2 linked regions of the Anolis sagrei genome follow. The protein of the gene in region 2 interacts with the protein of the main gene of each other region in a pairwise test. Links are inferred from orthologs where the notes say so. Each region holds a gene or a part of one and is shown on either strand. Other genes may lie near its edges.

The links.
Region 1: the proteins of UBQLN1 (region 2) and FZD7 interact in binary tests that used the Homo sapiens proteins (3 or more experiments, as listed by UniProt). The two-hybrid records come from large-scale screens. The link is inferred for Anolis sagrei from reciprocal best matches to the Homo sapiens genes UBQLN1 and FZD7.

The regions. Positions count from the first base shown.
Region 1 is NC_090021.1:165,057,277-165,064,479, reverse strand, and holds the start of FZD7 (frizzled-7), read right to left. Parts: upstream 3,073-7,203; 5' UTR 2,579-3,072; coding exon 842-2,578; 3' UTR 1-841. UniProt on the Homo sapiens protein: Receptor for Wnt proteins.
Region 2 is NC_090022.1:228,697,218-228,705,125, forward strand, and holds the start of UBQLN1 (ubiquilin-1), read right to left. Parts: upstream 3,080-7,908; 5' UTR 2,751-3,079; coding exon 2,595-2,750; intron 1-2,594. UniProt on the Homo sapiens protein: Plays an important role in the regulation of different protein degradation mechanisms and pathways including ubiquitin-proteasome system (UPS), autophagy and endoplasmic reticulum-associated protein degradation (ERAD) pathway.

The DNA of each region.
Region 1 (7,203 bases), on a different chromosome or scaffold from region 2:
GTTATCATTACTAGATGAAAACCGCCAGAATCCAATGGCCACCAGTTGGAGATGCCATCCAAAACAGTAATTATAATTATTTTAACTAGAGTTTTCAGAGCATCTCTGCCTTTGGGTTCTGGAAATTGTCATCCATATGTGACTACCACCCACTCCCCTATAATATCCAGAATCCTCCCAACCAGGATAGCTACTGATGGGGAAATTTTCGGAGCAGCTGCTCCATTTCTGTCCCTTGTACAAAGGGCTGGGAGGGAGGCAATGCACCTCTTGGGTCTATATTTTGAGAGGATGAGTTACTGGAAGTCCAGTTTGCCATCCCAGAGACAGAAATGTGACTTAATTTCTGTTTTGTTTGTAAACCTTCACTTCTCCCTCCCTCTCCTTTCCCGTTGGCATAATTCCCACATTTCTCTTTGAATCGCATTTTCAGTTATTTGTCTTTCTTCTTTTTCTTTTCTAAAAGGGGTTGGGGTGCAGGGTGGGGGGAACAAGTAGAGGAAAGTAAAGACATTCTCACAGGATCAGAAACAGACCTGTTCTGAAGAGCAAAGTCTTAAGAAGGACACTTATTCTGCACTCTCCAACTTGGCTAGCAAGGTAAACATTTGAAGAGAAAGAGAGACCAAGTTGGAATGTTTGCCGCACGTAGAAATCCAACCATCCCTTGGAAAGAGGAAAAGGCAGAGTATGAAGGAACAACGGACCCCTTTGCACGTACGCAAACACACACACATCACAGCCACCCTCCCTCTTTCCTTCAGGCAATGCCTTCGCCACAAGAAGGAAGAGCAGCCGTGTGGGAAAGGACCGGCAAACTATAGGAGTACAAGTCTAGGTCTCATACTGCCGTCTCCCCTTTGCTCCCAGTGCTGAGTCTGTGGTAGAAGCGCCGCCAAGACTGGAGGGTCTTGCCAGTCCAAATCCAGAAGCCGGTGGTGATGCCCACAATCATGGTCATGAGATACTTGATGAGGAAGACTGTGAAGTCAGGGCTCATGGGGGCGAAGTTGGCGGCAGGGCAAGTGATGGCGTAGCTCTTGCAGTTCTGCAGGAGCCAGGTCTTCTCCCAGGTGTCCTGGAAGGCCTGCTCGTAGAAGTAGCAGGCCAGCACGATGGTGGCCGGCACGGTGTAGAGGACGCTGAAGACCCCGATACGCACCATCAGCTTCTCCAGCTTCTCAGTCTTGGTGCCGTCGTGCTTCATGATGGTCCGGATGCGGAAGAGGGAGACAAAGCCGGCCAGCAGGAAGGAGGTGCCAATGAAGAGGTAGACGAAGAGTGGGGCCAGGACGAAGCCCCGCAGGGCGTCCACGCTGTAGAGGCCCACATAGCACACCCCGCTGAGGACGTCTCCATCCACCTGCCCCATGGCCAGGATGGTGATGGTCTTGATGGCTGGCACAGCCCAGGCGGCCAAGTGGAAGTACTGGGAGTTGGCCTCAATGGCCTCGTGGCCCCACTTCATGCCTGCCGCCAGGAACCAGGTGAGTGAGAGGATGACCCACCAGATGGAGCTGGCCATGCCAAAGAAGTAGAGGATCATGAAGAGGATGGTGCAGCCCTCCTTCTTGGTGCCCTGCACCACTGTCCGGAAGCCATCCTCCGAGAAGCGCTCCACGCACACCACACGGTCCTCTAGCAGGAAGCCAGCCACATAGGCCACAGCCACCATGAAGTAGCAGCCAGAGAGGAAGATGATGGGCCGTTCGGGGTAGCTGAAGCGCCGCATGTCCACCAAGTAAGTCAAGACGGTGAAGAGCGTGGAAGCGCAGCAAAGCACCGACCAGATGCCCACGAGCAGGCGGGCAAAGCGGACCTCGGCCTGCTTGAAGTACATGAGTCCTCCGTTGGGCAGGTCAGGATCGCATGGGGCGCCACAATCCCGCTCACCTAGGAAGCGGTAGCCCAGGTACGGGGGCACCTTGAGCTGCCGGGGACAGGAGAAGGTGAAGGTGGCGTGACCGGTGGTGGGAGGCAGTGGGTGAACAGGGGGTCCGGGTAAGTGTTCTGTGGGGTACGAGGCGGTGGCAGGGCTCCCCGGGGCGACGCCTGCTCCACGCCCTCCTCCCCCGGAGGATGAGGTGTCGGAGGTGTTCTGTCCCACGCAGATCTCCCCAGCGCCGTGGACGGGGAAGTTCTCACAGCGCAGGCGCTCGGGCCACTGGAAGCCAAACTTGTTCATGAGGGCCTCGCAGCCGTGGCGGGCCCTCTCGCAGAGGGAGCGGCAGGGCGGGATGGCTTGCTCCAGGACGGTGCAGACCGGGGCGTACATGGAGCAGAGGAAGAAGCGCAGCTCCGGGGAGCACTGCACCTTGACCAGCGGGTAGAACTGGTGCACCTCCAGGCCGGCATCCTCCTGGCTGGTGTGGCCCAGCAGGTTGGGCAGGATGGTCTGGTTGTAGGCAATGTCGGTGCACAAGGGGATGGAGATGGGCTGGCAGAAGCCGTGGTCCGGCACCGAGATGCCCTTCTCGCCCTGCGAAGAAGAAGAAGAAGGCTGCCCACGGCTGGCATGGGGCATCAGCCAAGCTAAGGCCAGCAGACCCCACAGGCCCATGGCTGCTGCCCTGAGCATTGGGGGATGGGGAAGAGGCCAAAGAGGAGGAGGATGCCGGAGGATTGTCAGAGGATGGTGCTGCTGCTTCTCCCACTCAGGGCCCCGAAGGCATCGCCCACTCAGCAGCAGGAGGAGCCTTCCAGAAGAAGCCAAACCGGATCGCTGCCTGTTTGGACTCCCGCCAGGAGGGAGAAGCACCAGGGCGCCTCTCCAAAGCCAAAGCAGGTCTCCCCTCGGTCTCTCCTTCTCGGCACCCTTGGAAGACCCACCTCCAAAAGTTTCCTCGCGTGGAGAAGCCCCGCACTCCCAAGAGCGCCCTTCCTCCTCCTCCTCCGGGACTTCTCGGCAGCTTCTCCTCGCTTTTGAATGCAAAGGCTCCAAGGGAAGCCGCTTGGGAGTCTCCCTCCGCCTGGCGATCGCTCCCTCGGCCCCTCCGCAGGGATCCAGATCCAGAGAAGGAATGCGCCCTGAGACCTCCCTCCTCCTCCTCCTTCTCTCTCTCTCTCTCTCTCTCTCTGCGAGGGAAAAAAAGGCTCCTATATGGCTGAGCGTTCTCTCTAGCCCCGCCCCTTTCTCCCCTTCTCCATTCACAAGACCGAGAAGGGGGCGGCGTCTCCGAACCCTTGCTCCGGCCAATGGCGCGCTCTGTTGTCTCCACAACTCGGCTCCGGATTGGGCAGGGCGATCAAAGGAGGGGAGGGGCGGGGAGGAATGTGGGCGGGGCCTGCCTTAGGAGGATTCCATCGCTGGAAAAGTTGAAAGAAACTTTTTCGCCCAGGGTTGGCTGAATGGAGATGGAGGGAAGCAACGCAGAACAAGAGGAGGAAGGGGAGCCCGTTGGTCTTCCTTCTTCACACAGAGAGAGATATATATATCCTATGTACCTAATATTTTACATATAGATACTATATAAATATTACATATATATATATCCTAATATTTTACATATAGATACTATATTAATATTATAGATATACATATATACTATATATACTATATATATCCTACCTAATATATACATATATCCTATATAAATCTCTCTCTCTCTCTCTCTCTCTATATATATATCCTACCTGATATTTTACATATATATGCTATAGAAATGTTATATAAATACATACATATGATATATATATATATATATCCTACGTAATATTTTACATATACATCCTATAGAAATATTATATAAATACATATGATATATATATCCTACATAATATTTACATATATATCCTATAGAAATATTATATTTATATATATCCTACATAATATTATATATATATATCCTATAGAAATCTCCTATATATATATATATCTCCTATGTAATATTTTACATATCTATCCTATAGAAATATTATATATATATTCTATATATGCCCTACCTAATATTATATATATATATTCTATATAAATATTATATATATACATATTATATATATATCCTATGTAATATTTTACATATCTATCCTATAGAAATATTATATATATATATTTATATATATATTTATCCTACCTAATATTTTACATATATATCCTATATAAATCTCCTAGAAAAATACATATATATATATACTATATATATCCTACCTAATATTTTACATATATATCCTATAGAAATGTTATACATATACATATGATATATATATCCTATGTAATATTTTACATATACATCCTATATAAATATTATATAAATACATATATATATCTTACATAATATTTTACATATATATCCTATATAAATATTATATATATATCCTACCTAATATTATATATATATTCTATATAAATCTCCTATATATATATATATATATCCTATGTAATATTTTACAAATATATCCTATATAAATATTATATATATATATACACATATTATATATATATATATATATATATATATATCCTATGTAATATTTTACATATCTATTCTATAGAAATATTATATATATATATATATATATATATATATATATATATATAAATCCTACCTAATATTTTAAAGAGCCCCGGTGGCACAGTGGGTTAAAGCAGGTTCGAATCCGGGTAGCAGTGTGAGCTTCCACTGTTAGCCCCAGCTTCTGTCAACCTAACAGTTCGAAAACATGCAAATGTGAGTAGATCTATAGGTACCGCTCCGGTGGGAAGGTAACGGTGCTCCATGCAGTCATACTGTCCGCATGACTTTGGAGGTGTCTACAGACAACGCCGGCTCTTCGACTTAGAAATGGAGATGAGCACCACACCCCAGAGTCGGACACGACTGGACTTCATGTCAGGGGAAAATCTTTACCTTTACCTACCTAATATTTTACATATATATCCTATATAAATATTATATAAATATATATATTCTATATATAACATTACATTATATGTGTGTGTGTGTGTGCATATATATATATATATATATATATATATCCTATGTACCTAACATTTTACATATATATCCTATATAAATATTATATAAATATATATTATATATAACCTAGTATTTTACACACACACACAATATATATATTGTCATGTCAGGAGCAGGAGCATCCTGTTGTGAGAGAATTGGCTGTCTGCAAGGACGTTGCCCAGGGGACGCCAGATGATTTTTGATGTTTTATCATCCTTGTGGGAGGCTTCTCTCATGTCCCCGCATGAGGAGCTGGAGCTGATAGAGGGAGCTCATCCGCCTCTCCCCGGATTCGAACCTGCAACCTGCCGGTCTTCAGTCCTGCCGGCACAGGGGTTTAACCCACTGCGCCACCGGGGGCTCCCACATATATATATATATATATATATATATATATATATATAATATGTAAAATATTAATATTTGTAATGTTTTTATTCCAGCAAGAGCAGCTATTTTTGTTGTTGCTGTTATGTTATGTTCTGTTCTTATATGTTTTCAGTCATTGCAATAGTTCTATTTTAAGCTATGTTAATTTGACCTATGTAGTATATTTTGGATATTGTTTTAACAGTTACTTGCTGTAAGCCACCCTGAGTCCCTTCTGCGAGAGAGGGCGGGATATAAATCAAACCTATTATTATTTTATTATTATTTACAACAAACTCCCATTGCTCCATCCTTTGCACAATAACATCCTATAAGATCAGGATCTACCCTCAGGGTGGTCCAAAATACTGTTTGTTAAAATTATCATTAGTTAAATGCATGCATGAAGCTCCTCTCCTTTCTCCTCCCCTACCAGGGCCAGGAAATGTATTATAGATTGGACTGTTGGGGGGCAGGGGGAATAGGATGTGATTTGAATATATAGAAAGAAGGAAGGGCAGGAAAAATGTTCAGAATTAATAAAAAGGAAGGCTATGCTGAAGGGTGAACTGAGTGAGGCTTGAAGCAGTTTTTTTTTAAAAAAATGCGTACACTATATATTGGATTTTGTCTGGGAGAACAATTATTTCTCTGCAAATCAATTGATCCATGGTGCGCAGCTGCCCTCTTGATGTCAAACAGATAAACAAATTTAACCTTGAGCAGCTCCTTTTTTAAAAAAAATGGTAATCTCACAGAAGTGCAGACACTCACTCCTTCCTTCGACATCTTATCTTTCAGAAATGTTATTTTACCGAAATTCAGCTATACAAAGCGCTTAAAGCTCCTTCCCCTTGCCATATTAGCTTTAGTTTATATCTGGAATAGTGTTTGCAGATTTGGTTTAGTTTCTGGGTCCTCAATGAGACAATAGTAATGGAGAGGGGTTTTATTTGTGCCAGGAGCAACTTGAGAATCTGCAAGTCGTTTCTGGTGTGAGAGAATTGGCTGTCTGCTAGGTTGTTGCCTAGAGGTTGCCCGGATGTTTTACTTTCCTGTGGGAGGCTTCTCTCATGCCCCTGCATGAGAAGTTGGATCTGACAGATGGGAACTTACCCTGCTCCCTGGATTCGAACCGCCGACCTTTTGGTCAGCAGGCCTCCCAGCACAAGGGTTTAACCCATTGCACCACTGGAGGCTCCAGTCAGGAGTAAATAGCCTGAAGAAGGCAGCCTCCATGTTTTGTGAAGACATGATGGCTTCCATCATAATTTCACCTTTTAGTGGTCTGAGCATTGGTCTGGAGATTGGGGTTCGGATCCCAACTCAACCATTTAAACCTTCTGAGGTCCCTTCCACACTGCCATATAAAATCAAGATGATCTGATTTGAACTTAATTATATGGCAGTGTAGACTCATAAATAATAATAATAGTAATAGTAATAATAATAATAATAATAATAAGCTGACACGATATGAGGATTTAAAGATCGAACTACAAAGACTCTGGCACAAGCCAGTCAAGATGGTCCCAGTGGTGATTGGCACACTGGGTGCAGTGCCTAAAGACCTTGGCCTGCACTTAAACACAATCGGCGCTGACAAAATGACCATCTGCCAGCTGCAAAAGGCCACCTTACTGGGATCTGCACCCATTATTCGCCGATACATCACACAGTCCTAGACACTTGGGAAGTGTCCAACGTGTGATCCAATTCAACAGCCAGCAGAGTGTCTGCTGTGGACTCCTTGTTGTGTTTCTAATAATAATAATAATTATTATTATTATTATTATTTATTTATTTATTTACTGTATTTGCATACCATCTTTCTCAGCCAATTGGCGACTCAAGGCAGTTTCCAACAAATCAGTAT
Region 2 (7,908 bases):
ATGAGATTTCTTGGGAGATGAGACCCAAATCTATAAACAAAACTCATTTATATTTCATGCACATCTTCTAACACATAGCTTGAAAGTAATTTTTACATAATATTTTGCATAATTTGGTGCATGAACCAAGTTTGTGTACACCGAATCACCAGAAAGCAAAAGTGTGCCATCTCAGCCCCCCTTGTGGACAACTGTAGATGTTGGAGCATTTGGGGTAAGGGATGATCAACCTATCCCAAGCCTGCCAGATTTGAAATCATGGCGACCCTCCCACTGAAGCTAGCTGGTCTCTCTCCCTGTCCGCCTGGCTCCTTTGTGTCCTCCTCTAGACAAAGGCAACCCTTCTTTGCGGTCATTTTGCGATTCCAGCACCAGGTGTTTTTCATCCCGTTAGCTCTACAAATGCTATCTCATTTTAAAACATAAAGGAAATGGGGGTGGGGGATCTAGAATAATCCCCTTTATAGCAAACTTTCTGGGCCTGTGGAGCAGTCGAATGCCTATCAGTGGAGGCACAAAGTAGGTAAGCGATTTCTTCATGCTCACTGTTGGACAAAATCCACAAATTAGAATGTTATATAAAAACAAATGAATGCCAACACCAAAAACAAAACAAAACAAAACAAAAAAAGCCCTGGAAGAGTATTAAATGAAAAAAGCTGAAGACCTGGCTCTGCGCACAAGCGTTTGAAGAATAAGTTTCTACAGTTTCAACACAGTCTGGATTAAGGATTATGAGCAGGGCTTTGTATGAAGAGAACAATGTACTTTATATGCTTTTTAAAATTTGTATGCTGTTTTATGTGTATTATTGCTTAATGTTAATTGTTTTTAAGTGTTTTAAAGTTTTATTGTTATTGCTGGGGGTTTTTTGCCTTAGTTGTAAGCCGCCTTGAGTCCCCTTTGGGTGAGAGAGGTGGGGCAGAAATGAGTTGAATAAATAATAAATATTATGCTCTTTAGGCTTTTTCATGGGCCCTGCTTTTACTCGGGAGTAGCTCCCTTGAACAATGTCACCCTGGTGCCACTCATTCATACCCAAGTGAAAACGACAGAGGGAGGAGAGTGCCTCTGTCTACATCAGGTATGGGCCAACTTGGGCCCTCCAGGAGTTTTGGACTTCAACTTCCACCATTACGCAAAAGATGTGGCTCGTGGCTGTTAGGAATGGAAAGGAAGGGGTCCGAGGCTGTTAGGAATGGAAAGGGAGGGCCCGAGGTTGTTAGAAATAGCACTTCAAGGAACAAGACAGACTGGAAACAAGTTACAGCATACTTAACAAAAAGGAATGTGAAAATACTTATTTAAGAAAAACAAGAAAGCAATGGACAAAACGAAGAAAGGGAGAAAAAGAAAAGAAAAAATAAAGAAAAAAGAAAGGAAAGGGAAAGAACCTCATAGAAGATACTGGGAAGTCTGAAAATCTACATTCTTATTTATTTTATTCTATCCATTTCTACATCTTTCATACTCACGATTTCATACCCCCTCCCCCCCCAGCCCTAACTTTACTCGACCTTTAACCTTTCTCTTTTCCCTTTAAACACTATTATTCCTAATCCAATCCACACTTCTACTTTTATATACATATCTCTATCTGAAGCTCTTTGATATTTTTACCATAACTTTGTGTTTTTGGGGGGGGGGGATCTAAATAAAAATTATTTTAAAATAAAGAAATGGAAAGGAAGGGGTGTGAGGCTGTTAGGAATGGAAAGGATGGGGTCTGAGGCTGTTTAGGAATGAAAAGGAAGGGGTCTGGAGCTGTTAGGAATGGAAAGGAAGGGGTTTGAGGCTGTTAGGAATGGAAAGGAAGGGGACTGAAGCTGTTAGGAATGAAAAGGAAGGGGTCTGAGGCTGTTGGAAATGGAAAGGAAGGGGTCTGAGGCTGTTAGGAATGAAAAGGAAGGGGTCTGAAGCTGTTAGGAATGGAAAGGAAGGGGTCTGAGGCTGTTAGGAATGAAAAGGAAGGGGTCTGAAGCTGTTAGGAATGAAAAGGAAGGGGTCTGAAGCTGTTAGGAATGAAAAGGAAGGGGTCTGGGGCTGTTAGAAATGGAAAGGAAGGGGTCTGAGGCTGTTAGGAATGGAAAGGAAGAGGCCCGAGGCTTTTAGGATTGGTCCAAAACGCCTGGAGGGCTCAAGTTAGCCCATGCCTGGTCAACACACTAAAATTAATACAGTAGGCCGCACATTGTGGGATCATGGGAGTTGGAGCCTTCTCTGCCTCAGAGTGGGGCGCCTCACCCGACCACAACTCGGACGAGTCCACAGCACGGAGCCCCGGGAGTTGAAAGCGGTGCCGAGCCGCGTCCATTCCCCAGTGTAGAGATTGAGGCCTCCCTCCCTCCCTCTCTCTGATGAGGCAATTGCTCCTCCCGCGTCAGCACTTCGGAGGCCGGTGACGAGGCAAAGGCCCCGCGCGGAAGCCAGCGGCGCGAGGAGGAAGGGAGAGAGAACATGGTCGCCGGTTCCATACACACACACACACACACACAAAATACCCCTTCACACAAGGCACACACTCCGCTCTGAGGCACCAGCCACGCCCCTCCCTCCCTCCTTAGCTGGCTCTCTCTCTCTCTCTCTCCTCTCACCTGCCGGATGCTGCTGGTCTCCGGCACGGCGAATTCCTCCTTCTCCTTCGGGGTCTTCACGGTGACTTTAATGATCCGCGGCTCAGTGGCGGCGGCGGCGGCAGGGGCGGGATGGCTCTCGCCGGGGCCCTGGGGGCTCTCGCCGCCCTCAGACATGGCGCGCGGGCCGACAGACGGAGGAGAAGCCGCCTCCGCTCGTTAAAGCCAGGCCGCGCGGAGAATGCCGGGTAACGCCGACCCTCCCTCCCTTCCTCCTCTTCGTCGCCTTCTTCTTCTTCCCCTCCTCGGCCCCCTTCCTCCTCCTCCTCCTCTTCCCTCGCGCACACCCCGACGCGCGACTCAGCTTTCTCTCCCAGAGTTCAACGGAAACAGTCCGGCTCGGCTACTACGGCGCCTGGTGATGACGTCAGGGGTCGGGGAAGTTGCTAGAAAAAAGGGGAGCGGGGTTGGTAAGAGAGAAAGAGAGAGAGAGGCGCAGGCGCGCATGTGCACAACGGAGAGGAACAAAAGGCTCCCCCCCCTCCCCGCGCCTCGGAGGTGCCGAGGTCACTGCGCACGCGCGGCTGGGGCGGAAAGCCCCCGCTGGCATTGTCAGGCGGGCGGATGCTCTGCGCCTGCGCAGAAAAAAACTTTTCGGCTGCTCGCAGTGGCGTAGTTAGTTACTCTCTGGTGCGTTGTGTGGTGGGATACAGGCCGGGGCAAACGTGGGTCCTCTTTGGCGTTTTGGACTTCAATTCCCACAATTCCTAACAGCCTCAGGCTCCTTCCTTTCCTCAGCTTAAGCGGCTGAGGGGGAAAAGGAAGGGGCCTCTTAGGAATGGTGGGAATTGAAGTCCAAACACCCGGAGAGCCCAAGTTTGCCCAGGCCAGGTGGAAACTTCGTGGGAGATATATATTAATCATTTATTTTTAGTGTCAGAAGCAAATGGAGAAGAATAATCATAATAATAAATGATATATATTATTATAATATCATAAAATTATAATGTATCATAATATAATAATTATATATATTATAAAATTGTAATATAATGATATAATATATCATATTATAATCATTATATAATATTAATATAATGATATAATGTATTATAATAATATAATAAAGCTTGGGAAGTGTTCAACTTGTGATTTTGTGATTCGAAATCCAGCATATAGATCTCGTTTGCTGTGACATTCTGTGTTTTTGTGTCAGTAAAAATATAATAATGACAAGAGTTTGGAGCACAATACTCCGACCTCACGATCATGTTATGGGTCATCGATGTTGCAATCCCAGGCGACAGCAGGATTGGAGAAACAACTGGAAAAGCTGACATGAGGATTTAAAGACTGAACTGCAAAGACTTGGGCACAAGCCAGTCATGGTGGTCCCAGTGGTGATTGGCACACTGGGTGCCGTGCCTAAAGACCTTGGCCTGCACTTAAACACAGTCGGCACTGACAAAATTACCATCTGTCAGCTGCAAAAGGCCACCATACTGGGATCTGCATACATTATTGTGGACTTCAACTCCCACAATTCCGAACAGCCAGCTGAAGTCCAAAACATCTGGAGGGCCCATTTGCTCATGCCTGGTATAGAAGCCCCCTAAACTGAGATTGCCGTATCTGAAGAATACATGACTCACAACAATGAAAAGTAGAAGGCAGTAAATGAGGAAACCTGTATCACAAATTGATAGACTCAGTCAAGGAAGACATGTCCCGAATCTGCAAGAGCTGTGCAGGGTGGCTAACCTTGTGCAGGATTAATAGAGTTAAATTGAGACATCTCATTCATAGGATCACCATAAGTCAAAGCAGATGGTAGTTAACAACAGCCATACTGATGGAGAAATTTCAGCAGCTGCCCCCCGCTTTCCTTTGAAACAAACTGAAAATTTGGGACTATAACTTCCATCAAACCTAATTAATACATCTTATATCCTGTAGTAAGAAAAGATGGTATAAACATTGTTTTAGTCTAAAATATCTGGAGGATCATACTCTGATAATATGATCTGAATAAAAATATCTATAAATTGACTAATTGTTGGCATTTAACACATTTAATGTGTGCTAAAATGCATAGAGGATCTAATTACTACGGTCTCCCTACCTGAGCTAGCGGGGGTGGTCTCGAGCCTGGCATTGGAGTCTCAACGGCTTCTTGTACTGGGGGACTTCAATGTACATGCCGAGACTACACTAGGAGGAGCGGCTCAGGACTTCATGTCATCCATGGCAACCATGGGGCTGTCCCAACGAGTATCTGGCCCACCCACTGTGCGGGACACACATTGGATCTGGTTTTCTGTCAGGGATGGGAGCAAGGTGGCGGTGTCGAGGAGTTATCCACTTCTCCGTTGCCATGGACCGACCACTATCTGGTCAGATTTAGACTCACCACACCTCCCAACCTCTGCAGAGGTGGGGGACCCATTAAGATGGTCCGCCCCAGGAGGCTTATGGATCCGAATGGATTCCTGATGGCTCTTGGGGATTTTCCTGCCACCTCGGTTGGTGATCCTGTTGAAGCCCTGGTGTCTCTCTGGAATGGGGAGATGACTAGGGCCATAAACACGATTGTTCCGGAACGTCCCCTCTCAAGTAGCCGAGCTAAACCAGCACCTTGGTTCAACGAGGAGCTGGCAGCGATGAAGCGAAGGAAGAGGAGACTAGAGCGCGTGTGGCGTTCGGACCCGAGCGAGTTAAATCGAACACGGTTTGTTGCCCTACTAAGGGCATACGCCGTGGCAATAAAGGCGGCAAAGAAAGCCTTCTTTGCGGCCAATATTGCGTCCGCAAAGAACCATCCGGCGGAGCTGTTTCGAGTTGTCAGAGGGCTATTGAACCCCACCATTCCGGATGGGAACCCTGACAACTCGACGGCCCGCTGTGAAGCATTTGCTCGGTTCTTTGCGGACAAAGTCGCTTTGATCCGCTCTGGCCTGGATACCACGTTAACGGCAGTCTCTGAGGATGTAACACGAGCATCTGCTTGTCCGATTTTGATGGATTCATTTCAATTGGTGAAACCCGAGGATGTGGACAAGATACTTGGAGGAATGAGAGCTACCACATGCATCCTAGACCCCTGCCCATCCTGGCTTCTAAAGGAGGCCAGAGGGGGATTGGCCGAGTGGGTGGAGGTGGTGGTTAATGCCTCCCTTCGGGAAGGCAAAATTCCAGCCAGCTTAAAACAAGCTGTAATAAAACCGCTGTTGAAAAAACCATCACTAGACCCCACTCAATTCGTCAACTATCGGCCTGTTTCCAATCTTCCCTTTTTGAGCAAAGTCCTGGAACGTGTGGTGGCCTCACAACTCCAGGTATTCTTGGTAGACACGGATTATCTGGATCCGGCACAGTCTGGTTTTAGGCCAGGACATGGTACCGAGACAGCCCTGGTCGCCTTAGTGGATGATCTCCGCAGGGAGCTCGACAGGGGGAGTGAGTCCCTGTTGGTCCTGCTGGATCTCTCAGCGGCCTTCGATACCGTCGACCACGGTATCCTTCTGGGACGCCTCGCGGGAATGGGCCTTGGTGGCACTGTTTTACAGTGGCTCAGGTCCTTCCTAGAGGGTCGTACCCAGAAGGTGTTGATGGGGGACAGCTGCTCGTCCTCACAACCATTGTTTTGTGGGGTCCCGCAGGGTTCAATACTGTCCCCCATGTTGTTTAACATCTACATGAAGCCGTTGGGAGAGATCATCCGGAGTTTCGGGGTGCGGTGTTATCTGTACGCAGATGATGTCCAACTCTGTCACTCCTTCCCACCTACTTCTAAGGAGGCTGTTCAGGTCCTGAACCGGTGCTTGGCCGCTGTGTCGGACTGGATGAGGGTGAACAAATTGAAATTGAATCCAGACAAGACAGAGGCACTCCTGGTCAGTCGAAAGGCCGAACGGGGCATAGGGTTACAGCCTGTGTTGGACGGGGTTACACTCCCCCTGAAGACGCAGGTTCGCAGCTTGGGTGTGACCCTGGATTCATCGCTGAGCCTGGAGCCTCAGGTCTCGGCGGTGGCCAGGGGAGCATTTGCACAGCTCCGGCTCGTGCGCCAGCTGCGCCCGTACCTCGGGAAGTCTGACTTGGCCACGGTAGTCCACGCTCTGGTCACATCCCGTATAGATTACTGCAACGCGCTTTACGTGGGGCTGCCCTTGAAGACTGCCCGGAAGCTTCAGATGGTCCAGCGCTCGGCAGCCAGGTTGCTAACAGGAGCAGCTCTCAGGGAGCATACCACTCCTCTGTTGAGCCAGCTCCACTGGCTGCCAATTTCCTACCGGGCACAATTCAAGGTGCTGGCGCTAGCCTACAAAGCCCTAAACGGTTCTGGCCCCACCTACCTCTCCGAACGCATCTCCACCTATGAACCGACATGGACATTAAGATCGTCCGGGGAGACCCTGCTCTCGGTTCCGCCTGCGTCGCAGGCACGGTTGGCGGGAACGAGAGACAGGGCCTTCTCGGTGGTGGCCCCTCGGTTATGGAATGCCCTACGCAATGACATCAGACAGGCCCCTTCGCTGCTGGCGTTTCGGAAGAAGCTCAAAACCTGGCTCTTTGAGCAAGCGTTTGGCTAATTAGCGCAATTGAATACAGGATGACGGTAAACTGAACATAGGAACGGCATAAGGATATGAGACTGGATCTTGTTTGTGATCGAGGCACTATGTATGAGTGTTGTATGTTTGCTATTGTGTATGCTGAGTTTTAATTGTTATTGCTGTGTTAATTAATATTGTGTAAACCGCATTGAGTCACCTAATTTGGTTGAGAAACGCGGTATAGAAATAAAGCAAATAAATAAATAATAAATTAATTAATGTTTGAAGAATAAACAACATATGGGATCTTTTTACCATGTGTGGTGGACTTGCAGAGCAGTCAAAAGTTCTGTTGCCAAAGACATAACGTGATATTTAAAAATCTTGAAATTTAATTTTCATTGAAACCTGAACTGTATAATTAAGCTTTTGCACAATTAAAGCTTGTGCGCCAGCTGCGCCCGTACCTTGGGAAGTCTGACTTGGCCACGGTGGTCCACGCTCTGGTTACATCCCATATTGACTGCTGCAACGCTCTATACGTGGGGTTGCCTCTGAAGACTGCCCAGAAGCTGAAATTAGTCCAACGTTCGGCAGCCAGATTACTAACCGGAGCAGGGTACAGAGAGCGCACAATTCCTTTGTTATACCAGCTCCACTGACTGCCAATTAGCTTCCGAGCACAATTCAAAATGCTGGTTTTAACCTACAAAACCCTATACGGTTCCGGCCCGGTTTACCTGTCTGAATGTATTCCCCCTTATGAACCATCAAGACAA